Linked DNA regions of Rhinolophus ferrumequinum. The protein of the gene in region 2 purifies or fractionates together with the protein of the main gene of each other region. This does not show direct contact. Links are inferred from orthologs where the notes say so. Each region holds a gene or a part of one and is shown on either strand. Other genes may lie near its edges. The genes, in order: WDR82, ZC3H4 and CSNK2B.

Region 1 (10,368 bases), on a different chromosome or scaffold from region 2:
CAAAACTGAAACCTGATGCAAAACTTCCTAATATATATAACCTGTTGCAGAAGCTATCCATCCTCCCTGTCCTAAAGGTCCAAAGCACTTACCGAGCCTTTGGAAAGGCAAGCTTAACTATCCCTAGCAAAATAGTCATCAGTTTTCTTTTTATTTTAATGTAAAATTACACATTTCCCATCTAGAGAATGTCAATCCATTCATTGAAGCTCCTTAAATGTCTTCTTCTATAGAAGCTTGAAGATGAAGCTGAAACCATACTCAAAAACTTACAATGTTCTACATTTCAGCGTAGGAGGATTTCATAAATCCTGTACCAATGTTTACCAAGAATTCCAATTTATGAAAAAGACGTTCACCCTGTCAATGCAAAATCCTCTTGGAACCTAGATGCTAAACAATGAGATAGATGCCTCAGGCAGCTTTATGAAGTCAATCGTTTGCAGTTTCAATTTTTGTTAATGTCAGTGAGGCTAAGGGTTTCCCTACATAAAACTTATTTCCAAACAAGACTTCTCCTTCCAAATGCACTGAATGTTCCACATCCTTACCATACTGAAAAATCAGCTAGAAAGATCAGCTCAAAGGCTACCTTGTTTAGTCCACTGTCCCAGGTTCCGCATTGGGGTTACTGTGTAGTAAAACTAACCAGTGAGTGAGGGAGGGAAGGAGGGAGTGAGTATGAGCATGTGCACATGTTCTTGCTCTCAAAAGATAAGCTGACTTTGCCTCTACCGGTGGAAAGAAAAGCTTACTTATCCCAGTATTTCAGTCTATCTACAACTATGAAAACAGAGCCTAAAGAGCCAACGTTAAAGCGTGTGGAGTAAGGGAAAATTTTTCTGTGGCCTATTTGTCTCGAATTTATCAATAACACTAACCTGAGATTTGTTCTTAACAGAAATATTTTACCTCTTATCATTTCCTACTTTGAAAGCAATATCCTAATGTATTACGTCCATTTCAGGTGATCTTTACAAAGCCCAGGAACATTTTTTCACAAATATTTTGGTAAGCTTCTCTCCACTTATTATGATTCTGGTGATCAATTATGAATAAATAAATAATATTAAAGCCTTCCTTTGAATAATTCACATCACCTACCACAGATTCATATTCTTTCAAGTTGAAAAAAAATCACTCAATGGATAAACTCCATTATAAGTTTAAATGAACAGTAAATTAGAAAATATCAAGCATAAAGAACATTGTTTTAGCTATAATATAATGTTAACATTAGTACCATCTAATAAAGGTATTATGCCTTACAAGGCAACATTACTTTTCTTCCAATGTTAGTTTGACCTACACTAGTGGCAAATGTTTTCTTATTACCATTTAGGATCATGGACTCCTAAAGGCTAAAAGAGGTCATCTAATATCCAGAGAAGTGATCTGACCAGTGACATACCGTGTTTCCCGGAAAATAAGACCTAGCCAGACAATCAGCTCTAATGCGACTTTTGGAGCAAAAATTAATATAAGACCTGGTCTTATTTTACTATAACACACCGGGTATAATATAATTTAATATAATACAATACCAGGCCTTATATTAATTTTTGCTCCAAAAGTCGCATTAGAGCTGATTGTCTGGGTAGGTCTTATTTTCAGGGAAACACGGTACCTGGTCACAAGGACAAACTAGAACTCAGGTCTCCTACCAAACCACTCTCCCATCACAGATCACAATGAAACAAGTCCACAATTGATAAGAAAAAAATTTTAAAAGCATGCCCTATACTATTTTATCAATATTAAATTTCCTAATTTGCATAACTGTGCTCTGGTTATATAAGAGAATGTCCTTATGTGTTTAGGAAAACCATGTCACCGGAATCTGTGTTTAGGGATAAAGGGGCTTGATACATCCAATCTACTCTCTAATGGTTCAGAAAAAAAATGCATACATATAAATACATATATAGAGAAAAAGTCAAAGGGGGCAATGTAGCCAATTACTGGATCATATGGGAGTTCTTTGAAACACTGCTGTAACTCTTAAGTTTGTAATTATGTAAAAATGCTATGTAAGTGAATAAACTGCATTATATCATAAAATTAACATTTTACTTTTAACAAGACAGGACTTCAAGTCACTGTCATCCCTTGCAACAAGTTGAAATTAGGAGACAAACTATGAAGAAATGCTATCACCACCTTTATTTCCTTTGAATGAGGATATACACCTCCATCCTCAGATTTCAGGGAAAGGTTCCAATCTGTGCACAAGCACTAAACATTTCAAGTAAGCCAGCTTCAAGTTACTTCTAGCTCCAGGACCCCACAACGACCCCGCACCCCCAGCTTTGTACCTTATTCTCTCTTCCAAGCTGATTCAAGTGGCCAGACAAGGAAATCCAAATACTAAATGAGTAACACTAACTCAAATAACTCAGCATAGGTCCAGCTGACAACCCTCTCTCCCCCCAGGACCACCACTATGGGCCATTCTTCCACATACTGCAGGCAGATGCAGAGCCAGTTACGTAATACTCTTTCATAGCCCCAGTGGGGGAAAAACTGGGGAGAACACTATAGCTCAGACCAAAACAGCATTACTTTGGATAACCAAACTTACAAACGAAGAGACAAGTCCCAAAAGAAGTTTACAGAAGACACCAGTTTTGTTTTTTGTTTTTCAGGCAAAAGAACTGGAGAAAGTAGAGAAAAACCCAGATTCCAAAAATAAGATGTGGATCAAGGCAACAAAATGAAATCTGACAAAACCAGTAGCCACCGAGTTACATCAAACATCTGCAAACCTGTTCGGGGAAGGTGACTGAGAGGAAATAAAATTTAGCTTAATCCAGCTTCTGCTCCGAAGGAGCTCACAATTTAGCAAGGACGTGGAGGCAGTAAGTGTGAGGTGAAGCTGACATGGTCCCCAGGGGAAAAGGGAAAATACTGTGCTTGTAAGATTTTGCAGAGATGCAGGTGTGGTGGGTATCCAGCACTTGGGGCAACGCAGAAATTTCACGGTCAGACTAGACTTGGAATTAAAGTGTTTTTTTTTCTTTAAACATAAGAGGAAACATGAAATTGTTATACGATGCTTTCTTTGTTCTAATGGGAGGTTCACATTCAGGTCGAGCCAAGTTCGGTCGTGTCTGGCAAAAAGGAAAAGTTTCAGATGTTGCTACAAAGTTCACAATAAGCGTGGGCAATGGGTCTGAGGGAGGAAGAGCATGATTTGAAACAGAAAGGAAAGGACACGGGACCCAAAGAGGCACAACAAATAAATCCTGACAGCTAAGAACTGCAACCCACGCGGCCTTCCGGCAGAAAGACCGCGGGAAGCAAAGGGGCAGGGGTTGGGCGGAGTGCCAGGGCTGAATCGAGGTCACCGAGGAGAAGGCACAGAGAGCAAGCTGACGCCGTTTGATGAAGCAGGAGAGCAGCCTCTGAGGTTCTCCGCGGAGGGCAAAGCCGATCCGCACCTTTTGGAGTCCGAGCGGTGGAAAAGCTACCAGCTGGGGCCAGGGTGGGCGGGTCGGGCGCTTAAAGGTCAAGGTCAAGGTGGAGTTGGGCAAAAGATGCAGAAGTGCTCTCAGAGACCAAAGACACACAAAATATTAATGCTATCATTAGTTGTTTGTTTTTTTTTTTTTTAAAAAAAAAAGGTCTCCTGGACATCTCTGGAGTGGAAGAGTGGAAGCGGCCTTGGCAGGAGCGAGCACAAAATCGGCGGGGGGCCGGAGTCGGGGAGGGGAGCTGGCCGCGGGGCGAACCACGAGAGGGAGGGAGGGACTCAGACCCGGGCCCTGGGCCACCGCCGCACTCACTTGCCCTCCTGGCAGTCATAGAGCACGATGGAGTCGTCGTCGCTGCTCGAGATGACCGTCTCGCCGTTCGGGCTGAAGTCGAAGCAGTTAATCTTGTCCGAGTTCTCGCGGAACACCTTGGCGACGCGGAAGCTCCGCAGCACGCTGTCGGTCAGCTTCATGGCGGCAGCTGCTGGCAGCAGCAGCGGCGGAGCAGGGCTGGGGCGGGGCCCCGCGGCGAACGGGCGGGCGAACGAACGGGCGGGCTGCCGAAGGGCCCACCCGGGCGGGGCGGGCGCCGCGCCGGCGACGAGCTGGAAGGCGGCCGACAATCAGGCCGCCTCCTCCTCTCCCTCCTACGGCTCGTGCAATGTTCTTCTGCCTGACTGCGAGGCCTTGCCTACCGATCCTCCTCACAGTCGCCTCAGGGACAACCCAAGCGACGCCCGCTCATTGTGTCCGCCATCTTGGGGCGACAAGCAGGAGCCTAGGGCGAGGAGCCGCATCGCGGCGCAAGCCGGGAAAGAGGGCGGAGCGGGAACGGCGGCGCGAGGCGGGGAGGCGGGGCGATGACGTCAGCACGGCGGCGTGGAGTGCAGTGGCGGGATGGCCGCTGGCTGTGGGGAGGAGGGGGGTGGGGATGTCCACGACCTCCTCCGTGGGCGGGAAGACCGCTGGTGCCTGGGAGCCGTGGGCCTTTGTGCGGTTAGCAGCCCCACTGGAGACTCGGGCGCGTCCTCTGCAGAGGCCCCATCCGCATTTTACCAGGAAGCAGGTCCTGCGGGGATCCGCCAAGCCCCTCCAGGGGTCAGTCAGTGAACCCATCAGCTGGCAAGCAGGCAGGCTTTCGCCGCAAATCCACATGTCCTGAGCGGGAGGTGACTATCAAAGTAGCAGTCTCATATCAGTTTGTGTCTCCCCACAATGTCAGGCTTTATTAGAATGGATCTAGTCATGGATCTAATCCTACCTAGTCGGTTTACCACGGGCATTAACCAAGGCTCTAGCCAAAGGATAGCCTCCAATAGTAAAGGTAGGGTGATTTCACAAAAGAGGGTCACACTGGTTTGCAAACAATAAGGTTAGGCGAGGTGAACAGAGTCTTACAAAAGAAGGATGAGGAAGAGTCCTGCTCAGTGAGAGTCCCTGCGGTGCTGAAGTGCAGAGCCTCCGCGTCAGGCCGGGCTTGTGAGATGGTCAGGAGCGAAGACTTCAAACGGTCTATCTGGGAGGAGTGCAGATGAAGCTGTCAGCTGTTAAGGCCTGAGCGATGAGCTGTCAGAGAGCCTCTGTTTTTATGCTCAAGACTGGGTGCAGTGCACCCATCTGCAGTCCAATAAAGCTATCTGCAGTCAGATAAAATGGTCCAGGTGGTCACACTCCATCCTGCATCTGGAGTTATCTGGTTAGGGCCTTCACTGGGTACACCTTTCATGTGACGCTCTGGCATGACTGTCACTTTGTGACTGACAACTATCAGAGTCATAATGCTCTACACATCATGACAGAGTCAACATACTTTCAATTTCTGTATTTTTTATTGGTATATAATATACAGTAGACAGCAAAAATTTTTAGTGGATGAATTTTTTTCATTTGGATATATGTGGTGTAATTAAAAGATATGGTGAATATTTAAATAAAAAAATGTATTACAGTAAAAGACACATTGCCATTAGTCCCCCTCAAAATAACCACCCTCACTTCGAATACACTGATCCCATCGTTCTTGCCACTTTCTGAAACAGTTCTGGAAGTCCTTATTCCTGAGTGTCTTTACTTCATTGTCCATCATGACAACACTCCATGTCACACATCGCTTCTGGTATACGGCAATTTCTGTCAAAAACATTGCAGTGTGTCCTCATCCACCTTATTCACCGGATCTGGCACTGTACAACTTCTGGCTCTTCCCCAAAGTCAAGATGACCATGAAAGGAAAACATTTTTTAATCAATTCAGTCCATCGAGGCAGCCACGACAGCGCAACTAAAGACAGTCACGAAAGAGGACTTCCAGAACTGCTTCAGAAAATGCAAGAATGATGGGATAAGTGTGTTCGAAGTAAGGGAGAGTATTTTGAGGAGGAGTAATGGCAATGTCTTTTACCATAATAAATTTTTTAAATTTAAACATTCAAAAAATAAATAAAAAGAAAAAGAACTTTTAAAAATATTTTAAAAAATAAACCTTCACTGTATTTTTTAATCACACCTTGTACACCGATGTGACCACCAGGCAGAACTTCAAGCCTTCTTTTAAAATTTTAATTGATACATAACATAAAGTGCATACAGTGAACAAATTTTAAGTGTTCCACACATTTTTATAAACACTCATCTAAGTTTTCAAATGTATTTACAGCTCCAAAATTCAGCATCAATTACAAAGAAATTTTTAAGAGGGAGAATTGTCTCCTCATTCAACAAAATACAGTTTTAAATTCTCCTGAGTTCTCCCTCCTTATTTATATATCTACATAAACCACTTTCCCCTTTTTTAGTATTGTATAGACCACATTTTTCCATGTTCGAGGTATAATTTATGTAGAGTAAAAATTGGCCTTTTTAATCAATAGTTCTAACAGTCATATACAGTTGTGCAATCACTACCACATTCAAGGTATAGAACAGTTTCATTACCCTCTTTGTAGTCAACGAAATTGTTTCAATGGTTCCTAAGAAGGGATTTATTTGCCTTAAAGGAAGGAAAGTTGATCCCTAACAAAAGAAAGCGATATCTAATCACAAAATAGGTACCACGAACCCTGGCTTTAACCTTCTGTGCAAGGAGTTAAACTCGGTGCAACCCATGAGAGTTCATAGATCTCTAACTTGTGCTGCAGCTTCTCAAAAGTTTAATGGCCTGGGACCTCCAACAATGGAGATGGAGCCTATTTACTTTGTTTCACTAAATTGCAGTGGCTAAAGAGGAAGAAAAATAAAGAGGAAAGACTGTGAAACATTTTAATCACTGATATTATGAAGATGTGCTATCCAGAGATCCAGATATAATCTGGACAATGCTAAAAACAAAACAAAAACCCTGGGACAGGTGGGGTCCCTCCAGAAAGAACTAAGGCTGTGTCCCATCCTCTGGGTAAAGAAAAGGTAAAGATCCCTACACATAAAAACAAGTTATTGGAAGCATTTGAGATCTTGCTCCCTGGCATATGTTGTCAATTTGGCTCAAATAAACTCTTTCTTATAAAAATTCTCTACAGATTTGGACATTTCTTTACATCAACACTTACTTGGCACAGTATGGCAGGATTCCAAAGAAGCCCACCCAGAATCACTCTGTGGACCCTAGCTAGGGCCCATTGTGCCCACCAGTTCCCTGCTTCACTTCTGGTGAACTTGGGTGAGTTTCTCTCAGAATTGTGGGCTTCCTTGCTTTAAGGAGCAGGCCACTACTTTATTTGAGCTGTTCTTAGAAATTCTTAGAGGTGGATAAGGGTTGAGATAACCCAGGGAAAGGAGAAAAGTGAGTTGCTGCTTTTAATCTCGACTTTTTAATTAGATTGCTTACTGAGAGTCTGTGACAAAATCTTGCTGGGTAAATGAGAGACTGAACTGTCTAGCTCCGAGAGAAAGGACACTTGCTTCCCCAACCGGAATAGCCAATGGGATGATGATAGTTGTTCAGATCCCCAAATCTGGAGTGGTAGAGAGGGGTTCCTGAGTCATCCAGTGCGGTACGGTACTATAGATAATCGCAGAGAAGCTGGGAGGAGCCCCAGGGAGAAGAAAAGGGCACCCTGGAACAAGTGCATCCCAAGAGAGAGGCCCAGGAGAGGGGTTCATGCCTAGGAAAGCATCAGGGTTCTGGTGGCATCTGCTAAGCTCTCACTGGCCCTTGCACAGGTATTCTTAGGTGACTAAGAATCTCCATGGGGTTGTCTAAGGAAAATTTTCCTCTAGGGCGTGAAGCAGTCCTATAGGGATATCTATGGCATGTGGCTTATCTGCAGATGTGCATGGAAGGGCTGGTTTTCCCTAGAAGTTTGTTCAGATTCTACAGATCTCAACATTAATATGCAAAATCATGCCTCCCAGGCCAACACGGCCCACCACAGTTAGCCTCCTATTTATAACTAAGATGGCCAAGATGAGGATCTTTTGATACTTCTAAATTAATCTTTTGTGAACACAATTAGAAAAAGCCAGCTACAAAATTAAGCAGAATTTAATTGGTCTCTCAAAGCTTCAAAAAGAGAATTTAGAAAAATGGGTTAACCCATGATGTCGTTTTGGTGTCAACCCAATTCTTTGAAGTATTCAAAATGGCTGTCTTTTAAAAGGGGGAAGGTCATTGTAAATTGTAAATTGTAAATACCTCCAAAACAAAAATTGTATCCAACTAGTCTCTGTTTGTGTCTGTTTGTATATGTCTATATATGTATGTTATAAATGAGAGATAATTTTCTACCTCCAGATGGTATTGTTTAAATTAATTTAAAGGCAAGCACTTATAAGAATTGGGTATCTAAAATTCTCAGAAATATAGAAACTAACTCATATGATTTTCAAGTTCACATGATCTAACATTAATTATTAGTGAATAAAAGCTAGCTTAAGTTTATTGGTTTAAGAAAAACAGACATGTCTCTATTTTGCCTGGGTTTTACAAAAACATGTCCATGTTAATAATTGACCTTTATGTCTGTGAAAAATATTTCTAGAGATTATAAAATGTCCAAGCTAAAGAATGCTAATTGATTACTTCTTAGTTTTTATTAGACATTAAGTTTTTAAGGGTTAAAAATCTCAATATATGTAGGTAAACTTCTAGAGTATAGTGTATGGGTAAACAAAGCCTGTAAATTAAATGATTAATCAGGGCTTTGGGAAACCTGAGATGGCCACTTGGTTCTTCCCTGTACCTTGGCTCTACATTTTTCAGTTTTTACATTTCTTCATGCATCACAGTGGACTGAAGCTGGATTTAGATGAAGGAATTATGAGCTGACATAATTGAAAGGAGACATCTTACACTATTACCAAGGTCTGACAGAGTCACTCAAGAAAATGTCAAGTTGGTAACCACTTCCTTCACAGCGAACTCACAGGAGACATGTCTTTAGATATTGTTTATTGGAAAGGACACCAAATAAAAGACACTTTCCAACCTCACTGGAGACCCTATAACTATGAATGGACATCTACCCCTGTCTACAAACATCAAAAACTCCTTCCTCTAGGGTGAGAAGTTGATGACATCAGAGATAGAAAGCTATCCAGAAGACATGGGATAGCTTATACCTATGGATTGATCCTAAACTCAGAATCCATTTTGTTTGATTGTCTTTACTTGTCTGCTAATGATATTAGTCATAATAATAGTTAGACTTATTCTTTGGGTTTTTCTATATAGTACAATGTTTATGATTACTAAACATGTATAAGGTAACTTGTTAATATTCTTTTTATGGCTTATATAAATGTTATTATAGTAGATGCCAAAAACAGAAAAATGAGACAGAGGCAAACCTCAGATCATGATAGTTCACTGGATAGAAATGATACAGTGCTTCATAATAAAGGCCATAAGACCTGACTGCCTTCCATTTACCTGCCCTTCCTGTTTGGGGAAAATTCAGCTCAGATCCTATGGTTACAGTATTGCCCCATCCCCAGTGGTCAAGACAAACTCAATACAGAGAACTCCTAGGAATGAGACTTCCTAGCACTGTGAGACCACACTATCCGACCAAAAGGTTGGTCATCAATGCGTCCTTCAGATTGATTTATGATCAAAATGGATGAAAAATAAGGGGTTCTATGGAAAGTAACCTCACAGGGTGATCTGATCATAAATTCCTAACTGGTCAGGTCGTGGGAGGTAGTCACGCCCCAGGCATATAACTTTTTAGTTAAAGTATTCTCTTTGCCTTAAGCAAGCTCTGTCCATTGTTTTTGTGCATTTAGGTTAACACATCTTTAAAATAAGCTATAACCACCCTCAAGAGAGCACATAATCTTGTTAACTGTCCTGTAATCCAATCCCTGCCTTGCTTTTTCCCCCAACTCCATGTAATCTTCCTTGCATTCCCTCCTTAATTTCAAATGTATAAAAAAAAGCTGCAAAACTTATTCTCTGGAGCATTTGAGATCTCACTCCCTGGCATATGTCGTCAGTTTGACTCAAATAAGCTCTTATAAAAATTTTTTTTAAAAAGAAAAGTTGTCCTCTGAGGGGAGAGGGCAAGATCCTGGCTAAGTCTGGGTTGCAATTTGCCTGCTGACAAAGAGCAGAGCTTCTGGCTACAATTTGTTCTGGGGTTTGGAAAAAGCCTGAGTGAAACCCAAGTGGATGGCAACTTTCCAGAACACTCACTTCCCTGCAATTCCTGCTTTTTTAATTTACAAGCTAGAAAGGCTGCTTTGAATAGTTAGACGGCAACAAGGACAGAGGGTACCGTGTCCTGGAAATGTTGGAAAGTGAAACACCCAGTGAGATACCGTATTTTGGACCCTTTTAACCTAAAAAATAACCACAGAAACAGCCATAACCTACTGAATGTTTTCAGCCAAAAGAAATCTTTGCAGGGTATCTTTCATGTTTTGTACTTCCTGTAACTTTCCCAGATTTTACTAGTAAG
Region 2 (10,220 bases):
CCAATCCAGCCTTCAACTGTGATCTTACTCCTTATCCTATTCCAGAGGATGAGATGAGGGTCCTGATGGGTGGAAGTTCAGCGACAGAATGAGAATGGGTTGGTAATTTTTATTTTATTTTATAAAAAAATTTTATCTTGAAGATCAAGCTTAAACAAAAGAAATAGTCCAGTGAATAGTCATATATCATTTATCCAGATTCATTACAGGGAAAAGTTTTCAGAACTACAAATCTCACCAGGAAACCCCAGTAGGCCAGATTTTCTTAAATATTTCCACCATATAAAAAGCCAAATATGCACAAATTCCTTAAACCAAAACATTAATTCCAGAGGTTTGAGTCACATGAACATTTCTATATTTAACTCCAAATATTCCCAGGGTAAAATGATGCCAACTAAGGAAATAATTATGGCAACAAGGGGATTTACTTAATTCTTTTGACCTTCCCTATGGCTGATTGCATTTTGCAAAGATGGCTACAACAGTGTCTCTCAACCTACATGCTCTTTAAAAAAAACAAAAAAACCCCACAAACTTTTATTTGTTTAAGTATGTTTTTCCAGGACCTATTAGCTCCAAGTTAAGTAATTGTTTCAATCTAGTTGTGAGGGCGCATCTCACAGTGGCCCCTGTGGGGATCCAACTGGCAACTTTGTTGTTAAGAGCACAGCTCTTCTCTAACCAACTGAGCCATCTGGCCACCCCTACATGCCCTTTTTGCAACATCCCTTTGACACTGCTCCCATTGAGGGACGTTCATTTCCCTTGAAACTATTCTGGCTTTGGTGACTGACCAATAGAATGTGGCAGAAGGGACATTGCTTTACTGCCAAGCTAAATCAGGAAAGGGGAGGTCACTTTCACCCTGTGCATGGGAACACTTGAGTTTGAGCCCTGATAAATCAGATAAGCAGTCCCATTACCCTGAGACTGCAGGTTGAGAGGAAGCCCAACCCATGAGCAGAAACCACATGGAGAAGCCCTGAAATTACACAAAGAGAAAGAGATGCCAACTCAGCCCCCAGCTTTCAAGCCTTCCACTATTCCATTTCTAGACACGTGGTATGCAACCACAGAAATCCCAGGCCAGAATCAGACAGCCAAGCCTTCCTGACCCACAGGTACTGTGAAAGATAACGAAATGAGGGGGTCAAATACATGGTGATAGAAGGAGACTACTCTTCAGGTAGTAAGTACACAATACAGTATAGAGATGTCATGTTATAAAGTTATACATCCAAAATGTATGTAATGTTATTAACCAATGTTCCCCCAATAAATTTAATGAAAATTTTAAAAGATTATAGGAAAAAAGGGAAATGATTGCTGCTTCAAGCCACTAAATTTCAGAGCATTTTTTAAATTGTGGTAAAATACGCATAACATAAAATGTACTATCTTACCCATTACTGAAGAAAAAAAAGAACGAAAAAGAAAACACCTTCCCTTTTCTCTCTCCATCCAGCCCCTGGCAATCACCATTTTACTTCTGTTTCTATGAGATTGCCTATTCTAGATATTTTACATAAGTGAAATCATACAATATTTGTCTTTTTGTGACTGGCTTATTTCATTCACTTAGCATAATGTCCACAAGTGTCATCTACGTGTAGCATGTGTCAGAATTGCCTTCCTCTTTAAGGCTGCATATATTCCATTGTAAGTATATACCTCATTTTGTTTATCCACTCATCTATCAATAAGACACTTGGGTCTTATTGGGACCCCCTCACTTGGGGCTTTTTGACGATGATGAATAATGCTGCTATGAAGATGGGTATAGCAGTGTCTCTTTGAGACCCTGCATTCAGTTCTCCTAGGTATTTATTTACCCATGGGGCAGTTAGTTTTTCAACAACATCTAATTAGAACAGCTGCCCAAAGTGAAACTTTGTAACTTAAAAGGGGTGGAGAGCAGTTATGTAGTAGATCAGGCTCCTGGGTTTAAGGATTACATAATTAATTAGCTGCACCCAGGTGCCTGCTCACCATTAACCAAGTCACTGGTTCTCAATCCCACCTGAAGATTAGAATTACCTAGAGAGCTTTTCAGCAAATATGGTGCCCTGGTCCCTCCTCCAGAGACTCTGATTAATTGGTCTGGGTGGAGCTGAGACATTCGGATTTTTACAAAATGCTCCCCAGATGATTCTAAAATGCAGTCGGGGGAGAACCATAGAACAAAGATCTGTGTGCTGCTCATTCTAGTCTTTTCCTGTTCGGACCATTTAACTCTTAGGGCTATTTAAGACATTCAACTAAGCTCTGAATATTTCTTATGGCTCTGTACAACTTGCAATCACACTTTCTAAGTCAGTCTGTAGACACTGGTTAGAGTAGGAACTTAAGGGAATCAAGTGATAAAACTAATAGGTTTTAATAAAATTATAATACCAATAATAAATCTAAAATATTTAATTATAAATTGATGGATTTTTCATCTATAAAAGGTGTTATGGGTAGAAGAATTGTGTCCTCCCAAAAAATATGTTCAAGTCCTAATCCCTGCTACCTATGAATGTGACCTTACTTGGAAGGTCAAATAAAGATGAAAGTATTAGGATGGATCCTTCTTATGATGCCATATTGGATTAAGGGTCCACCCTACTTCAGTGTGACTTCATCTAATTTAATTAGTTATATCGTCAATGGTCCTATTTCTATGTAAGGTCACATTCTGAGGTTCTAGGAAGGCCATGAATTTGCAGGGAGGGAAACACTATTTAACCTAATAAAGGTATGAGTGTATATGTGGGGAGCTAGCTAGCTAAATGGGATAACTCTAGGATTTGGATTCAATCTAGCAGAATTGGGGGGTGGTCAGTGGGTGGGAGTAAGGAACTGAGCCTGGCTATGAGTTTATAATCACTGAAGTTGGGTGATGTTTTTTTCATTTTACTCCTTCCTCTATTTTTGTATATGTTTAAATATTCCACAATAAAAAGTTTTTTTAAACCCTCATTTTAAAGTTCTGAATCCATTTCAAAGTTCTGAATCCAAAGCTGTTGCACTATGCTGTGATACTTTCTGATTTCAGAGGAAAAGGCCAATAACAGGATCAAATAACCTCTCTGTGGGGAAAAGATGTTTAGAAATCATGGAATGACCAGGCAATAGAGGGCCATATCAAGTATCTTGTAGATAAGACTTTGGAAATAAACACTTTTGCTGAGTTGCTTTGTATTATTAAAATGAAATGTACAGGAATTATAAAAAGAAAAATAAGAGGAGTCAAACTATTTTGAAGAGTTAAAATAGATCCATGGTGTTAAATGATTTATTAGTTAACAGACTGATCTTGAAAGTGACCCTGAAGATCCTTGGCACGTAGTCATTTGTAATTGGTTAGGGAGTGACTAAGCCATTACCTGGGAGGATGCAGTAACTCTTGTAAAATGATCACTTTGTGAAAAAGAGCCCTGAAAATAAAGCTAACTGCTCTATAAATTATTTTCTCCTGCACTTCTAGACTCATTAAACATCTAAAGTGTCCCCTTTCTTTCTTCCTCCTTACACTTGTACAAAACTTACAGGGAAAATATTCTCAAGTTGGGGGGTATATATGTTTTTAAACATTTTTCATTGAGGTGAAATTCATGTAACATGAAATTAATCATTTCAAAGTGAACAATTCAGTGGCATTTAGTACACTCACCATGTTGTGCAACCGCCACCTCTATCTATTCCAAAACATTTTCATTATACAAAAGTAGTGATATACGTCTTGTACATTCCCAAGAGTCTACCGTGACTCTCTGTGCTCACAATTCCAAAAGAACTGGAAAAATTCAGCATTGCAGCTTAATATAACTTACTATAAATAGTTCTTTCCATTATTTAAGAACTAACATTAACTTCGTTCATTAGGTGATCATTCAATACCAATGTCATGTTGCAGGACTTTCTATCATCCATGGTCCCTGTCCTTTAGTGCCAGTAACAGCTCACTCATTATTGTAATGCCCAAAAAACTCCCCTCAAATTTCCAAAATGCCCCCAAGGAGCAATACTGTCTCCTTGAGAATCAGTTGACAACCAAAATTAATTTCCCTCAATAATTTCAATAGTGTCCTGTAGGGGGCGACATCACCTCTTAAGAACCAGATAGACCGATCAAAGATCATCTCGGAGCATGGACTTTATTATTTCCCATCTTCCCAATAAAAACAGGGTTAAATTAGCAAGGAAGAAAGGGGAAATAGTTATTGAGTTGGTAGTCAACAGGATCCAAAACACCATAATACCTCTCTTTGGCCAACGGTCTCCTTTTTTCCCCAGGGGTTTCCAGAGGTTGGAGTCAGCAGCTTGTTTTTCTTCCACACTTTGAAGAGTGTCTTCTCTGTGAAGGACTGTTTACCATGGCACAAAGAACCCACCTTAGAGCCATCCTAGGAACTATAAAAATAAAGTCCTTTGCCAGATTAATAACGTTCCAAGAGTACAAAGAAACAGGCACCACGGAACCATTGGTCAGACTTATGGGTATTACAGAAGTTTCCCTCTCAGAAAAGTACAAGGACCTGCCAGCTCAAAGACATTTTGGAGATCCAGAGGAAGAGGTATGTTGGCATTTTTTTCTTTCCAATATAAAGGGCAAGTTGCTGAAACTTGCACCTAAGCCACCCCCGCCCAACACACTAAAAAAACAAAACAAAACAAACACAACAATGTTTGGTGGCTCTCTTGGAGGAATTTTGGAGGCAACTTGGATCATAGTTGGGAGACTTGCTCTCACTCATCAGCAAAGAAAGCTCTAAGGCTGCTGGGGCCCCGTGCAAGAAGAGGTTTTCTAGCTGGTACAAGACGTAGTACAAAGGACTCTGCCATTTGGGTCTTCTAATTCAGTGATCCAGGGGTTCTTAGAAGTGGTGCATATCCTACAATTTACTTGTCTTTCTCCTATTGATGAGCATTTAGGTAGTTCCCAGTTAGGGGCTATTTCAAATAGTGCTGCTGTGAACATTCTTGTTCACAACTTTTGGGTTGCATTTCTGTGGGACATATACTTTTGGGGGCAATTGTTGAATCATAGTGGAGGCATATATTCAGCTGTATTTGACACGGCCAGTCTATTTTCCAAAGTGGTTCTCAGGGAACTCCTGTGTGTCTTCTCTATTCTGTCACTCTACTCCCATACCAAGCAATTCTCCAACTGGCAGACACCAGCTGCCTTGACTATTCTCTCTCTAGATAATCTCAGAAATAGCTACCAGGAGGTTAATTCAAAGTTTCAACGTACATTAGTACAATCAGGAATGTAAGCAGTCTTTCGTTGGTTTTTGCCCTGCAGTTGTTAACTGATTAACCTCTCTTATGTCTTCCTTCCAACTTCCAGCCCGCTTAATTTAATTTAGGACATCTCAGAATTTTTTTCTTGTCAAATAAAATGTCCCTACCAAGAGCAAATCTTTTAATTGGCCCACAAGAGACCTTTTTTCCTTTCGTGTGCCATGACTCTAATAAAATGTTGACACATGCTCATAAGAAAATTGTCCAAAAAAGGTGTGTTTAACATACCAAGAGCTAGTGGAGCAGGATTATGGGAATAGAAAGGAAAATTACTCTAAGTGGGTCATTATGTGTAATTGTGAAAGATGTCCTTCCATACGTTGATTTCTGAACTCCGTGTATTCTAGCTATGGACAAAACAACACTGGTTGAGAACATTGTCCTTTCCAGGTGTGGTTTTCAGCAGGCGCCATCTCTGAAGCTTCAAGAGTCCATTCCAGAAGCCTAGAGAGCACCTGCTTTTAGGTAATGAGGGAAATGAAAAGACTAGCAAATCCCAGCAGACAAGAATATTTCTCCATGCTTTTTCAGTGCCATACTAGCATAATGTCTACCAAGACTTTCTGACATCTAGTAGTTACTTTGTCTGACTTACTATGTAATTGTTGATTAGGGTATATAGACTTGGTAAAGTTATGGAAGATTCTCAAGTTTCAAATGATTTTTGTCTGGCAGAAAACACAACCCTGAGAGACACTGACCAGTTTTGTATCAATCTTCCCAACCTAATTGCAGCATTCATTTTTCCATTGTCTATGCATACCCATCTCTCAAGGCCCTCCCTTGAACCAGCTTTATTTTTCTGCTTGTTCTCTCATTAATGCGTTAAATAACATCTTTGATGCATACTCACAATGTTTTTGTGTGATGGTCTTGTTTTTAACTTTTAAAAAATTATACGGTGAAAACAGATAGTAAATAAAGTCCAGGGATGGTAATGTTGATAGAAATAGGACAGATGAGGGCAGAAAAAATAACACCAATACTCAATAAATGCTTATTCCAATGAAAGCAAATTGGGGAATTAGTCTGCCACCAGTGGCTGGGAAGTGGGACATTGGATGTCCCACTACCTGTTTGACTTTAGTACCAAGATACCATTTCCAAGTGATGATGAAGTTATGCTGAGCCTGCCCACTTCATCACTTGGTGTGTCATCTGATAATACACCATCACCTGGGATTCTGTGGCCAGTCATTGGGTCTTCGTAGAACCTATGAATAAGCCAAAAGCTAATTTTCAGAACAAGAGGTCATGACTTTTTATAAAACTCAGGGTGCATGCCTCCTATTGAGGTTTACCAGAGGTCCATAGACAACCGCTAGGAATGCCAGTTCTTATTAAAGATTTCGCTGTGCTGCTTATGGCTAATCCTTGAGCCAATTACTTAAGTACCGAGGTTCAGTCTATCCATTAAATGGGAATAGTAGCTCCCCTGAGTATACTTGTGAGGGTCAAGGATTTTACGTTCTTCTACTGTTTGAAGCCGGTCAGCGTTTCCAAGTTCAGCATTGGAGAGCCTTCACCTACTACACACCAGGTTCTTAAAACTTCACCAAAGCACTACCAAGGCCCGCCCTTCCTGCACCGCCCAGTGATGACGTCACCGACCGAGATCTCTAATGACATCATCTCCGGGTCGGCTCTACTCCGCTCCATCCTCCCATTCTCCGGAAGCCTACAACTCCAGCACACGTGCCTCCGGCTTTAGGTTATTTTTTTCTCTCCGTAGCCCGAATTTCTTCCCTCCCATTCTCCCACCTAAAACTTTCGATTCTTTCCGCCTTCCCTCAAGCTAGTAATTTTCGGTTCCTCCCGCTTGCTCTCGGGCGAATTCCTCAAAATAGTTTACTCCGTTAATTAATCTCCCTTCCTAGCCTGCCTTTTGGCTCCTTCCTTCTAAATCCCATTACCCCCGCGCGGCCTCATTCGGCTGTTTCCGCCTCCTGCCACCTACACCGACGCCACTTTCGGATCCTTCCGGACCGCTTCAGTGCCTTGTTTCCCAGTGCCGATCCGCTTCGGCTATTTCCGGCTCCTTGGGACCTCCCGTTTTTCCTCTAGCCTCACCCCCAGCACCATCTTCGGCTCTTTCCGCCCCTCCCCGTCTCCTGCTCAGCTCCTTTCGGCATTTTCCGCTTTCCCCGGCCTCATTTCTCCCTTCGAGTCTTTCCGCCGCCCTTCGGGCGAGTGGTCAGTACCCCTCTCCTCCACGTGACGCGGCCTCCGCCTCCGAGTTCCCCCTCCCACCTCGCCCTTCCTCCCGCCTCAGCTTCCCAGCCCGTCCGGGCCGCGCCGCCATTTTGTGTGAATTTCTGACTGCGGCGGGGACCGGGCAGCCGGGGCGCCCAGGGCGGGCAGACAGACAGACAGTCGGCCGGTCTCCGCCGCCCGTTTCTCTCTCCCTAAAATCCTTTTTTTTTTTTTTTAAACCCCCCTCGCTCGCTCTCCTCTTCCCCCTTCCCTCTCGCTTGCTCCACCGCGCGCGGCCCGCGCTAATTACACCCAACCAGCCACCAGTGTCCGTGTCCCCCGGGTCTCCCACTCCCGGGCCCGCGGGGGTGCGTGTGGGGGGGGCTCTCGCCCCGATGAGGGCCCTGCGCCCGTGAGCGAGTGACCCTCGGGGCGGGCTGCGGAGAAAGCAGGCGGCGAGAGGCCCGCCGAGGCCTAGGCCGCGCGGCCTACGCGGAGGTCGGCACAGAGGTGATTCCGAAACCGAAAAAAATATATACTCATTCCTATCAGGAGCCATCAGAGCTGAAGTGTGCCCCTCCCGCCACGCCCAAGCAGTCCTTTTTCGTGCATTAACATCCCCTCCCCCCCAAAGGAACTATGGAGGCCGCGCCCGGGACCCCCCCGCCGCCGCCATCAGAGTCGCCGCCGCCGCCATCGCCGCCGCCGCCATCAACGCCTTCGCCTCCTCCGTGTTCCCCCGACGCCTGCCCGGCCACCCCGCACCTCCTCCACCACCGCCTCCCGCTCCCTGACGACAGGTCAGGCCCCCGGCCCGGCCGGGGCAGCGTCCCCGGGGGGAGGAAGAGGAGGAGGAGGAGGAAGGGGGGCGGCCGCCATGTTGGGCCGGGCCGGGGAGGAGGAGGAGGAGGAGGAAGGGCGGGGTCGGTGGGTGTCTCTCGCTCGCTCTTTCTCGCTTGCTTTCTCTCCTGGCCTCATGCGTTCCCCCCCCCTCGCCGCGCTCGCCCGCTCTCCCTCGCTCTCGCTCTGTCTTTTTTGGGCGCCATGCTGAGGGGAAGGTGAGGAGGCGCCCCCCGGACCCCCCGCGCCCGCCTGCCCGCCCTGGGAAGGGGGCGCCGGGGGGGGCTGCGGAGGCCCACGGGGGTCCTGGCTGCCCTGCGCCCGGAGCTGGCAGCCACGGGCCCGCCTGCCCGTCGCCTGGCTTCGGGGAAAGGGATGGGGGAGGGGCCCCGGACCCTTTTTAGGGGGATCTCGAGCAACAGCCCCGCTCTTAGGGGTTTGGAGTTGGGGGTCTCCCAAACCCCGGCAGTATCCTTTCTCCTGGGGGAGGTCTGCCCTGCCCTATTTGGAGAGGTACCCTAGCTTTCTTAGGAGGTAGGAAGTGGGGGTCTGTTCAGTCCTTTCTCCATCCTCCTACTGGGGGGTCCTTTGGGTGGGGGCTCTCTTGCGCCTTTTTTTTTTTTTTTGCGGGAGGCGTTTACTAGGTGTTCCCTAGAAGGCAAAAAAGATGGGGGGATCTCTAGCCTTTGATGGAAACCCCTGCCTCTTTTGGGGGGGGAAGACCCTTCCCCATGTCTTTACTTAAAGGGAGGGGTCCTCTCGATTTTCTTAGGTAGGTGGTGCGTTTTTTTAGGGGGGGCGGCGGGAGAGGTTTCCTTGCCTTGAAGGGGAGAGGAGGTTGGTCCCCTCTTTCTCCTGGGGTTCTCTCCTCTTCGGGGCTGAAATGGGGCGCCATCCCTTCCGGGAGAGAAAACGAGGTTTGCGTGCTTTGGCAGGGGGTGAAAGGGAGTGCCCCCCCTCCCGTTTATTAAGTGCGAAATGGGTTCGCCCCACGCCCTTCTTTGGAGGATGATAAAGGGGCCAACTCCGCGCGTTTCAGGACGAGGTTGGGGCCCCCGTTTCCCCAGCTCCAGCACAAGGTTGGGGTGCAGGGTTCGCCCACCCTTTCCTGGTGGGGCAGGAGAAGAGGGAGGTAGTGGATTTGGAAATGGAAGGAGGGTTTCTGCCGACAGGAAAGCGAGTCTTGGAGGAGTGGGGGTGGGGAAGGAAAGAACGCGCTGGACACAGGCTAGGGCTGCCGGGAGCGCAGTCCCGGCTGGGGAGTCGTTGAGGACCTTCCTCTAGACAGGGGCTTGGCTAGGGCTTCCCTGCCAGGCGCCACTGCCCCTTCTCCCCACTCCCACCTCCCCTTCTCCCTTTCTCCTTCACAGACCATACTTTGCCTTTTAAAAGAAATGCCACCCACATTCAGAGACACAAGTGCAGCAGTTTGGTGAGCTTTTACAAAAAATTTTTTTTTTGTTTTGTTCTGTTTTGTTCTAATTAAATGTATCGTCCTGGGAATCGCAGCCCATCGCAGCCTGACTCCAGTTCAAGGAAATAAACAGATTAGCAAAGGTCTGTTCGCTAAGCCCACGTTGGGCTTCCGGGCCCCCTCTTGGGGGCAGGTGCATTACTCAAAGGTGCTTACACGCTTTATTCGACCTCTAAGGAGTTCTCTTATGTCAGAAGTGTATGTCTTACAATGGGTTGGGATGGTAAGTAGCCTCTTTTATTGAGTAATTCAATTATCTCCCTCTTTTTGTCCCTTTCCTGCCTGCCTTCCTCCTCACCTTTAGACCAAAGTGATGCTTGAGAGAGTGAGTTTATATGTTCAAATCAGGATTCTAACCCTGTTGAGCCCTTTTAGACTTGCACATCCTTTCAATGTTTAATTTGTAAAATTTGATGTACAC
Region 3 (9,938 bases), on a different chromosome or scaffold from region 2:
GCCATGAGGACCCCTGGCGTCCAGCACACCACTACCCTCCCTTCCCCAACCCCAAGCACCAGACCAGCTCATGGCCTTTTCTTCCACTTTATTTCATATTCCCACCACAATAATGGCTCCTTTAATTTAAACTAAAAACCATGGAGGGTTCCTGAAAGGGTGGCAGCAAAGGAATGGAGGTGTCAAAGACTGAGGACACTCAGGGACAGGTGGGAAGGGGATCAGCGAATCGTCTTGACTGGGCTCTTGAAGTTGCTGGCGGCTTGGAGCTGCAGCTGGTAGGCCATCGGATGGATCTTGAAACCGTAGAGCCTGGACCAGGGCAGAGGTCAAGAGGCAGCAGAGTGAGCCCCACGCGACCCTGCCAGCAGCCTGCATCCCTGCTCCCCACCCCAGCTCGTCCACGAGCCTGCTCAGTGCTGAAGGGTAGTGGTTCCCAAACTCCTCCCCTCCAGAATATTTGGGAATGTACCTTAAACATCCATTAAAACTCAAGTCTAGGCTATGTATGTATGTGCACAGATGTCTGTATCAGTACTTGTTTCAATGTAAAACTGAACTTTCCTTCCCCACGCCAGGGGAAAAACAATGCTCTAGGGAAGATAAGACACACCTGAAATGTGGCTCTGAGATGTCCTGGCCAAGGACGAACACCAAGACGGTGTAAGAACAGCCACTGTTTCAATGGTGCTTCAAGTGCCAAACGTTATCCTAAGCACTTCACATATTTAAAAATACCCTGCCAGGTAGGTACTATTATCACCCCCATTTTACAGATCTGGAGACTGAGGCGTAGGCAATCAAAGAACTTCCCCAGGGCAGGGTCCCTCAGCAGGGAGAGCCCTGGCTTTGGGAGAAGCAGAGCTCAAGAAAGGACCTTGCCCCCTCTTCCCTTCTCTATGGGGGGGTCTGGGCCTGTCCTGTGACCCCTGGTGATTCTGCCGTGCTCCCCACCTGGGCACAAACTGGTTGGCGGGCCGCTTGGGCCGGTATTCCGGGTGTACCATGAAGAGCATGTGAGGGAAACCAGTGCCAAAGTAGGCGCCGTCCGTGTGGTGGTGCCTCGATGACTTGGGTGTGTACACGTCCATGCACTTGGGGCAGTAGAGCTTCACCATGGCCTCACCTGGGATGTCTGACAGGCCTGGGAGATAGCCAGGCTCAGCACGCCAGGCTCTCCCACCTTGCCCAACCTCCTTTCCAGAGGACCTGCCATCTGCTGCCCTCCTTCCCCTTCTCCAACACTTACCGATGGGGAGCATTGGCTGGTTCTCACAGTACACACGGGGACAGTAGCCAAAGTCTCCCTGCTGGTATTTTTCCAACTGAGGTGAATAAAATGGAAAAGACTGGTGGGTAGGTGTGAAGAGAAGAGGCAATCCCCTCCTCTGCCCAATCCATATCACTCTGTGCCCCGTTCCTATCTCCTTCTGTCCAGAGGCCCCTTCTCTGGCCCAGACCGGCCATGTGACTCTCTGCTTCCTTTCCTCCACTTAGGCAGGCTGCAGACTATCAGAGCCATTTGCTGTTTGTTCCCCGAGAAAGAGACAGTCTCTAACAATTCTCTGTCCAAGGTTACGTTCCCCTCCCTGAAAACACCCCCTTCAGAACAACCCCCAATCAGGATTAAATTCCAGGCCCAGGTTCTGAGGTCATTGTCCTCTTCTCAGCTAGACTCCTTGACAAGGTTGAAACATGTGGTTTCTTGCTGCAGGAACCCCTGTTTCCCTTACTGCCTCAGGAATCAAGTAGGAGTAGAGAGGCCTCACCATCTGGGCGATGCCACGGTTGGTAAGGATATAGCGGGCGTGGATCAATCCATAAAGCATCTCGGCTGCCTGTTCAATCAGGTCACTCTGGTTGGGGTTGTCTTCCAGCTCTTCATCTGAAACAGGGCCCCGGCTGAATGCAACCACTCGTCTTACAGCTTTCTTGGGTGCCCTGCCCATCCCCGGGGGCTGCTGGCTACTCAGTTTTCAGTACACCCACCTTTGAGTCTCTCCCCACCTATCATGTGGGCACCTGACCCAGAAACCCGGGCCTCTGACGCTTCCACTAACCCAAGGTAGCTCTACCTTCTCTCCACACCTTCCCAGCCTCTGCTCTCTTCTCTCCTTCCCAATTCCCTCCTCAACACACAAATGCAAAGACATCAATGCAGAAGATGTAACTATAGCTGGAAAGTGCAAGGTAGGATAAAGAAGCGGAAAATGAGAACCCTGGGGAAATGCATTATGGAATATAGCTGAGTTATAGCATCAGAACGCGGGGACAAGTGGTATCAGTCACAAAACTAGGCAAGAATCAGGAGGGGCAATCAAAACGAAGTAGGGGATTTTGGGTTAAGGGAATCAGACAACAAAAAGGAAGTTTAGAAATTCAAGAAGCAGATGAATAGCGATATGAAGAGAAAAAAAGCACATACACACACAAAACAACCCTGAGGTGACTCACCAGGCTCCAGGTCCAAGATCATATCTAGAGCTTGTCGATAGTGAGGCACCTGCTCATTGAGCCCAGTGAGATTGAACTTGTCCTGGATGTAGTCTTCATCCACCTGTCAGGATGCAGAGGTCAAGAGGGAACCCATGGCACAGTCCTTGGCATTGACCTGAGCAAGTCGTTCTAACTGGTGCCTTATCCTCAAGACAGCTGCTTCTGTTCCCAACTCAGCAGAAGCACTTGAGTCTCTCTCCCCAGTTTACCTACACTGCCGTCCATAGAAGCTTTGGCTTTTCTTTTCTAAGGATAAGCATGTACAGCACTCCCTTCCTTAGAGAGGCTTCCCCTTCAAGATACCTGTCCCTACTCCTGCTCCTCCCTCTAGGAACCAGTTTTGTTCTCTCCTTAGGGGCAGATGGCGGAGAAAGGTAGGGGTTGAAAAGCATGGGTTCTGAAGGCAGTTACATCCCTTACGTTGAAACACATTATGTTAAATGCTACGAAACATTTTACAACGCGGCGTTTTAATTCTCCTACCAGTCCCCAGAAATAGATATTACCAATACCCCTCTAGTAATAAAACAGACAGACTAACTTGTGCAACGTTATACTGCTGGCGGGTGGCAGGGGTGGGAGTTGGGCCCCAGTCTTACTATTTCACCACAAATTAGTGGTGGGTTACTGAGGGCACTCTTCCTTGACAGGAAAACGTTTCTATGCAAGCATGCGAGACGAGTGCGCAGAAGCTGAATACGTGGGAGAATCTCTGGCCAGACTACATGTGGAGAAAGGTAGGGAGATTGAAGAGAACTCACTTCACAGAAGAATTCATTGCCACGGAGCCCACAGAACCAGGAAATCCAGGACACCTCCTCTGAGCTGCTCATCTTCACGTCAGCTGGAGAAAGAAGAGTGTAAGTGTAACCCACGTTCTCCCTCCCTGCCTCTGGTATCCTCCCTCCTCCCACACTTTGCTCTCCAACCACGGAAGAATTTGGGGCCACCTTTCCTTAAGGCGTCCCAGACTCTGGGACCTCGCCCCACATCCTCTTATTCACAGCTCAACCCCTTTTTTCTGAGATGAGAAATTCTTTGGGGTCCCGCCACTTGCGAGAAACCGACGGGTCTTGACCCACCAGTCCTACCCACGTCCCTGACGCTCCCAAAGGCCAGTCCCCTCTCTCCTTCACGTCAACTCTGGCCGTGCTCCCTCAGGTCTCTACATGTTCCGGGGCATTTCCCAAGCGTGCCGAAGTTTATTCCTTCCAAGCAAGAGATGGGCCCCTCTTTTCCTCATGGCCTGGGAGGGGGGGAGGTGGCCCTCAGCTCCCTTTCGCAGGAGTCCCCACATCCCTCCTCCGCCCCTCAGGCCACCTCTTCCTCCCTGGGTGCCGGACCAGGTCTCTTCCTTCTCCACCAAACACATCGAAGCGCGGAGACCCCCATGTGCCGTGCCCAGGGACAGGGCACTCAGCGCGGCGACGACCTCAGACTCACCGGCTGGACGGGGGCCAGGACCGGGGTGGGGGAGGGGAGTTGCTACTTCCAAGGAACGGCGACGACCGCTACAGCGCAGGCCGCGGACCGGATCGCGGCAGGCGAAGTGGGCAGGGGGGAGTGGAAATTGGAGAGGGTGGGGAAGAGGGCAACGCGCAAGCGCCAGGGGTCGGGCGCCGCGATGGACGCCGGGAGATAGAGTCTCTGATGGTGAGAAACTGGCGAAACGAGGGAAAGGCGAACTACGAATTCCAGGGTGACCTGCGCACGACCCTGGTGTCGCGAGGCCCCTGGGGAAGATGCTAGGGGCGGGGCGCAGCGAAGCTCCACCGGAAGCGGAAGCCCTGTACCGTGTCCTGGGCCAGAGAGCTTGAAAAATATAGTCGGGTGATCGCGGAACCCGGGGGTCGCGAGGGGGCGGGGTAAGGAACGAAGGTGGCTGGGTGATTTCCTGCCGCTCCCCTCACACAGCGAACGAGACTTCGGCCCCGGCGCGCCCCTGCTGGCCAGGGGACTGACTTCATCCCCAGGCAGCCCGTCGCCCGAACCAGACACGCCACTGGAGACCCCCGACGGGCCCCATGTTTCACCTGGGGGTCCGGCCGCCTGAGGCAGGAGGTGAGGCCGGCCTCCGTGCTGAGGGACCTGCGTAGGATGTGCTGGGCTGAGCGGAGCGGTGTGAGAGTCGGGTCGGCCCAGCGCTAACCTGAGGTGGTGCTAGCCATTATTCTGCTGCTCGTCCCCTTGCAGTTCTCCATTTCCTCTTAGGGCTTGAATGAGGCCTTCTGCTGCGGGCGCTAAGTGTGACCTTCGAACCCTGATTGGAGTAATGGTGAGGGGCAGCGTGACGTTATTTCACAGCTCTGGGCATTCCATAGATTTCCCTCCGCCTCCTCAGGGCCTTTTTTAACCCAGAGAGTGGTTTCCCAGCTCCAGAAAATGAGCTCAGAGCTGGGACCAAGTTGAGGGAGGCGAAGGGCATTGTGGGGCGTTATATAAAAGCAGGACCCCAACTGACAGATCCTCGGTCCTCGTGCTATGCTGGCACGTGGTACTTTGCGCGAATACTATTGGAAAGGTTGCAAGGCGGGAAACCTGGTGCTTTCTGTAAGCCTGTGCCCTCAAGTAAAAGTTTGGTTTTTTTCCACTCAGGCGTCTTCTAGTCGTCTGGCTACTTGATCTTGTGAACTGCTTTGCATAGAGGTGCCATTTTGCAGTACGAAAGCTACAAGACAACGCAGGTTGCAGCCTTCCCCCAAATGTGCTTCCTGCTTCCGGAGAAGTGTCAAGTCTGTTTTTGTTTGAGAAGATAATACCCAAAATAGGATCAAGGAAAGTCTAAAGGGCCAGACTGATTGTTTTTCTTAATGGTATGCCTTACAGAGCGGTAGTTTCAAAGAGATTACTTATTCTTTATTGTTGATGAGGTTGGGGGAGGGGGCTGAACGCAGGACCTCTGCGTAACTGTCCCATGGAGTCTTTGTTAAGCTTTACTAAAGGGCATGGTCTGTTATTGTAGGGTTCCGTGTTTCCACGTGATTTATCATCCTTAGGCCCTGTAGGGTCCTAGGTTGTGAGGTAACTTTTGGGGTGGGAGGGTTTTTGTTTGTTTGTTTTAATCTAAAGCTACTTTCCCTCATCCCAGCAGGTCTCTGGAGGTGGCTGTGGTCACTGCAGGGCCACCACGGGATTGGCTTGCATGTTTCATCTTCCCCTTGCCTAGTCTGATTTTCTCAGCTCTCCCACAGCCATGCCCAGGCCCTCCCTCATCACCTTCACCCCGGCCACCGACCCCAGCGACCTCTGGAAAGATGGGCAGCAGCAGGCACAGCCTGAAGAGCTGGAGCCTACCCTGGATGGGGCTGCAGCCCGGGCTTTCTATGAGGCTTTGATTGGGGAAGAGAGCAGTGCCCCTGAACCCCAGAGATCACAGCCTGAGCCTGCCAGTGAGAGAAAGCGGAAGAAGAGAAGAATGAGGAGGGAGGCTGCAGCAGGAGCAGCAGGAGGGCATGGACAAAGGAGATCTCTTGAAGCTGAGGACAGAATGACTCAGTGGATACTGAGGGCAGCCCAGGAGGGGAACCTGGCAGAACTAAGAAGGCTCTTGGATCCCCATGAGGAAGGGGGAGCTGGGGGGAATATCAATGCTCGGGATGCCTTCTGGTGGACCCCCCTGATGTGTGCTGCCCGAGCAGGCCAGGGAGCGGCTGTGCGCTATCTCTTAGAGCGAGGGGCTGCCTGGGTTGGGGTCTGCGAGCTGGGTGGCAGGGATGCTGCTCAGCTGGCCGAAGAAGCGGGCTTCCCTGAAGTGGCCCGCACCGTCAGAGAGAGCCACGGAGAGATGAGGAGTCCAGAGAACCGGTGAGGGGACGCCTGTGCCCATGTCCTTCTTTCAGTGTGTTCTGCCCTTCCTAGCCACTCCACACCAGAGGCCTCAGCACAGAGCTGAAGGGTTCTCCCCCATCCCCGTATAGGTTGACAGGGAAGGCAGTGTGCTAGAGTGGTTATGAACATGAGTTCTCTGGGATTAAATGCTAACTCTACTTGGGCAAGCAACCTAACGTCTATGTGCCTCAGTTTCCTCATCTGAGAAATGGGGAAAAGAGCACTTTTCTCAGGGTTGTTAGGATTAAATGCATTAATACATGTAAAGTGTTAGAACACTGCTTGCCATATAGTAAGCTTTATGGAAACATTAGCTATAGCCATTATTCCTTTTTTGCCCAAGAGCCTTATGAGGCCTAGTTACCATCTCTTCTCCCAACTATTCCCCTCTGGTCCTTCATTGCTAAGCGGGGCAGAAGGCAATTTTTTCCTTAGCAGAAAAACTGGAAGGACCCTGTCCAACCCTGCCCTCACCCTTTCTCTTCGTCCTCTGCAGGTCCCAGTCCTCCCCGCAGTACTGTGACACCTGTGATGCCCACTTCCAAGACTCTAACCATCACACATCTACTGCTCACCTGCTGTCACTGTCCCGGGATCGCCAGACCCCCAACCTGTCCCTTGGGATCCCCACATCCAGCCCAGGCTTCAAGCTACTGCTGAGGGGGGGTTGGGAGCCTGGAATGGGGCTGGGACCCCAGGGCAAGGGCCGTGTTATCCCCATCCCCACAGTCCTCAAGAGGGACCAGGAAGGATTAGGATACAGACCAGCACCTCAACCTCGAGTTACACACTTTCGGGCTCAGGATACCCGAGCAGTGGCTGGGAGGGAGAGAGTCCCTCAGGTGACTACACTGAGCCGGAGGGAGGAGAGAAGGCAGGAGGAGAAGGACAGAGCCTGGGAGCGGGATCTGAGGACATACATGAACCTTGAGTTCTGACCTTGGCAAGGTCTGACCCTGGTCTGCTGCTGAGGTCTGAACTTGAGCCTCTGACCTGTCCAGGTCCCAGACCCTCAGGTTTTGGTCAGTAGGCCCTATCTTTGGGAGAGGGGAGCTGAGTGAGAGTTGAGAAATAAATCAACCTTCTTACTCTTTTGTGTTTTATTAACTTTTCTGAAAGCTGTTGCGGGAAGCCAAACAAGTCTGGGGGCCACATGCAAGCCCCACCTGAGGCAATAGGGGCAGCCCCTCCAGGGGCATGATAGGGTCACCTTCTTGCCAATCTGGTTCACTGTCAGGTCCTAGCCCCCTCTAGAGCGGCCCACCTATCTTTCAACCCTGAGCCAGGAACTGCCCAGCTCTATGCGAGTCTCACCTCCAGGAAGGGTCTTCTGACTACTCCAGCTAATTCAATCACAAGTTCATATACCGCGCTAAGAATAGGAATAAGACAGTCCTAACCTCCAAGTTGCTCCCGGCTGGTGGAGGAGACAGCCATGTGATCAAACAGTGCGCAGTGACAAGGGGAGGCTCGGAGGTGATGAGACGGGGTAGGTAGTAGTGTAGGAAGAGGCCAGTGTGATGGGGGGGCCTGAGATTACCCAGCATGTACTCCGTTAGCCCAACTGGGATCAGAGCTCGGGCCTCCCAAAAATGAAGTCAACGTTCTTGTATTTAACTACCTGAAAACTCAGGAGGGCGGGAAGCACATCCTTTTCATCCACACTAGCTTTTCCCATTCTCCCCTCTCCCTCATCTCTTGTGCTGCTAATACCAGGTGCCAGACAAATGAAGGGCTCACCTGTCAAACCCAGGAAGTAAAATCTGCACGGAGGGGCAGGGAACAGCTACTCAATTCCCCCAAACCCCTCTCATAGTTTACTTTTCCGGAAAAGCCATTTATGAAGTCACGGGCAGGAAGACAAGTGGTGGGGGGTGCGGGGAAGAACCCAAGAACTGAAGGGGCGGGGCGAGTTCAGGGGCGCACTGGCGGTCCAGGGGGCCTCTGGGCGATGAATATAGAGGACCGGGTCTCTAGAGGTCCTGGCGGTCTCTAGAGAGACGGGGTGCGCTCCCCGGCGCGTACTGGCGGCGCACGGGCGCGAGGGGCGGGCAGTCCGCAGGCTCCGCCCCACGAGTTGCGGGCTCCGCCCCGCCTGGCCCTCCAGTCCGGGTGCAGCTGCTTCCGGGCTCTGCGGCTCGGGGCGACTCGGCGAGGCCCAGGCCCTGACGCTGGGCCCGGGAGGGGCGGCAGCACACAGAGCCCGGACGCCTGGGTCCCCCAGGCGGGCCCGCGCTTGGCCTCGCAACTGGAGTCTCGAAGGACGTCTCCGGCCTGACCTTGCGGAGGCCGCGCGTCTCGGCTGCGTACTCGGGTGCGGGTCCGGCCGCTTTGTAGGATTCATAGCCTTCTAACTCACAGGACGAACGCTGCTGGCTAGAGTTCGCTGGACATCTCCCCACAACCCCCAACAGGAGACATCTTATTCCTGAGGTCCCCTAGGGAAGCAGTTCAGGACTCCCCTGATCCGGAGCACCTCGGACCTGGGGCGACCTTTCTTCTTGGATGCAGCACCGCCTCCCCAGTTTTTGGGGCATCTTGGGGCGTGGCCTTGGTGAGTGAAACTTGGGGTGTTGCTTGCTGGGAATGAAACCCGGAAACCCGGGGAGGACACTGTCGGGTGACCCAGGCCTTGTCAGATCTTGAGACTCTTGGAATCTTGTGTGTGGGGAGCGGTGGTAGTGAGTGAATTTGGATGTGCCTCCTTTCTTTACCTCAAAACTGAAAAAGGAAACAAGCTGCCTGCCCCACTTGAGGCTGTATGACCATCCAGGGAAGTGGGGAGCCACTTCTGAATTCGAAGTAGGACTCGCCAAGCAGACCTGTTCTTCTGAGCCCGAACAGACTCTGGCACCTGAGGAGACCCTCAGCCCTCAAACCTGAGCAGTGCCGGGAAGCGGCCCCAAAATTTGGGGGCTCATTACACACTCCAACCATGTTCCTGCGACGGCTTGGTGGCTGGCTACCTCGCCCTTGGGGCCGCCGGAAACCCAGGCCTGACCTGCCCACCCCAGAACCCAGACAGGTGGACAGCTCCTCCGAAAATTCAGGGAGTGACTGGGACAGTGCCCCAGAAACCATGGGAGATGTGGGGCCTCCCAAGACCAAGGACTCAGGGGCCCAGAGGAGCTCTGGGGCTGCTCCAGTACCAAGCAGTGAGACCCAAGTTGAGCAACTAGGGAGCAAAAGAATGGATTCCCTCAAGGGGGACAAGACTGGCTCTAGCCCTCAAGAGTCTGGGAGACTGGAGGCTGCAGGGGCCATTCCTAAACTGGCATGGGATCCTGTGGACTCAGGCGGCACCAGGAGCTCTGGACTGTCCCCTGAAGGGGGACTGAGCCCCGCTGGATCTGAAGCCCCAGTGAAGAAGCCCGGCCGGCGTCAGAAGCTGCTCGGCTGGCTGCAGGGGGAACCAGGTGGGGGAGCAGGGGCTCGCTTGCAGTACCTGGGGGGCCCAGAGGAGTGTCTGCAGATCTCCAGCAACCTGACCCTGCATCTGCTGGAGCTGCTGGCCTCAGCCCTGCTGGGGCTGTGTTCCCGGCCGCTGCGGGCAGCCCTGGACGCGTTAGGCCTGAGCGGGCCGCTGGGCCTCTGGCTGCATGGGCTGCTGTCCT

What was found.
Region 1: the proteins of ZC3H4 (region 2) and WDR82 purify together in Homo sapiens (affinity purification with western blotting; 4 studies listed by BioGRID and IntAct, with this or other methods). This does not show direct contact. The link is inferred for Rhinolophus ferrumequinum from reciprocal best matches to the Homo sapiens genes ZC3H4 and WDR82.
Region 3: the proteins of ZC3H4 (region 2) and CSNK2B purify together in Homo sapiens (affinity purification with mass spectrometry; 3 studies listed by BioGRID and IntAct, with this or other methods). This does not show direct contact. The link is inferred for Rhinolophus ferrumequinum from reciprocal best matches to the Homo sapiens genes ZC3H4 and CSNK2B.

The regions. Positions count from the first base shown.
Region 1 is NC_046300.1:47,898,905-47,909,272, forward strand, and holds the start of WDR82 (WD repeat-containing protein 82), read right to left. Parts: upstream 4,274-10,368; 5' UTR 3,947-4,273; coding exon 3,786-3,946; intron 1-3,785. UniProt on the Homo sapiens protein: Regulatory component of the SET1/COMPASS complex implicated in the tethering of this complex to transcriptional start sites of active genes.
Region 2 is NC_046298.1:43,142,220-43,152,439, reverse strand, and holds the start of ZC3H4 (zinc finger CCCH domain-containing protein 4), read left to right. Parts: upstream 1-5,990; 5' UTR 5,991-7,003; intron 7,004-7,548; exon of another isoform or gene 7,549-8,119; 5' UTR 8,120-8,124; coding exon 8,125-8,285; intron 8,286-8,383; exon of another isoform or gene 8,384-8,529; coding exon of another isoform or gene 8,530-8,543; intron 8,544-9,695; exon of another isoform or gene 9,696-9,719; coding exon of another isoform or gene 9,720-9,757; intron 9,758-10,220. UniProt on the Homo sapiens protein: RNA-binding protein that suppresses transcription of long non-coding RNAs (lncRNAs). LncRNAs are defined as transcripts more than 200 nucleotides that are not translated into protein.
Region 3 is NC_046286.1:2,155,179-2,165,116, reverse strand, and holds CSNK2B (casein kinase II subunit beta), read right to left. Parts: upstream 4,763-9,938; 5' UTR 4,530-4,762; exon of another isoform or gene 4,264-4,529; intron 4,077-4,263; exon of another isoform or gene 3,940-4,076; intron 3,743-3,939; exon of another isoform or gene 3,588-3,742; intron 3,341-3,587; 5' UTR 3,330-3,340; coding exon 3,258-3,329; intron 2,558-3,257; coding exon 2,455-2,557; intron 1,886-2,454; coding exon 1,770-1,885; intron 1,326-1,769; coding exon 1,250-1,325; intron 1,145-1,249; coding exon 955-1,144; intron 313-954; coding exon 222-312; 3' UTR 74-221; downstream 1-73. Other genes in the region: GPANK1 (G patch domain and ankyrin repeat-containing protein 1), read left to right, coding at 5,690-6,300, 6,821-7,262; C3H6orf47 (uncharacterized protein C6orf47 homolog), read left to right, coding at 9,260-9,938. UniProt on the Homo sapiens protein: Regulatory subunit of casein kinase II/CK2.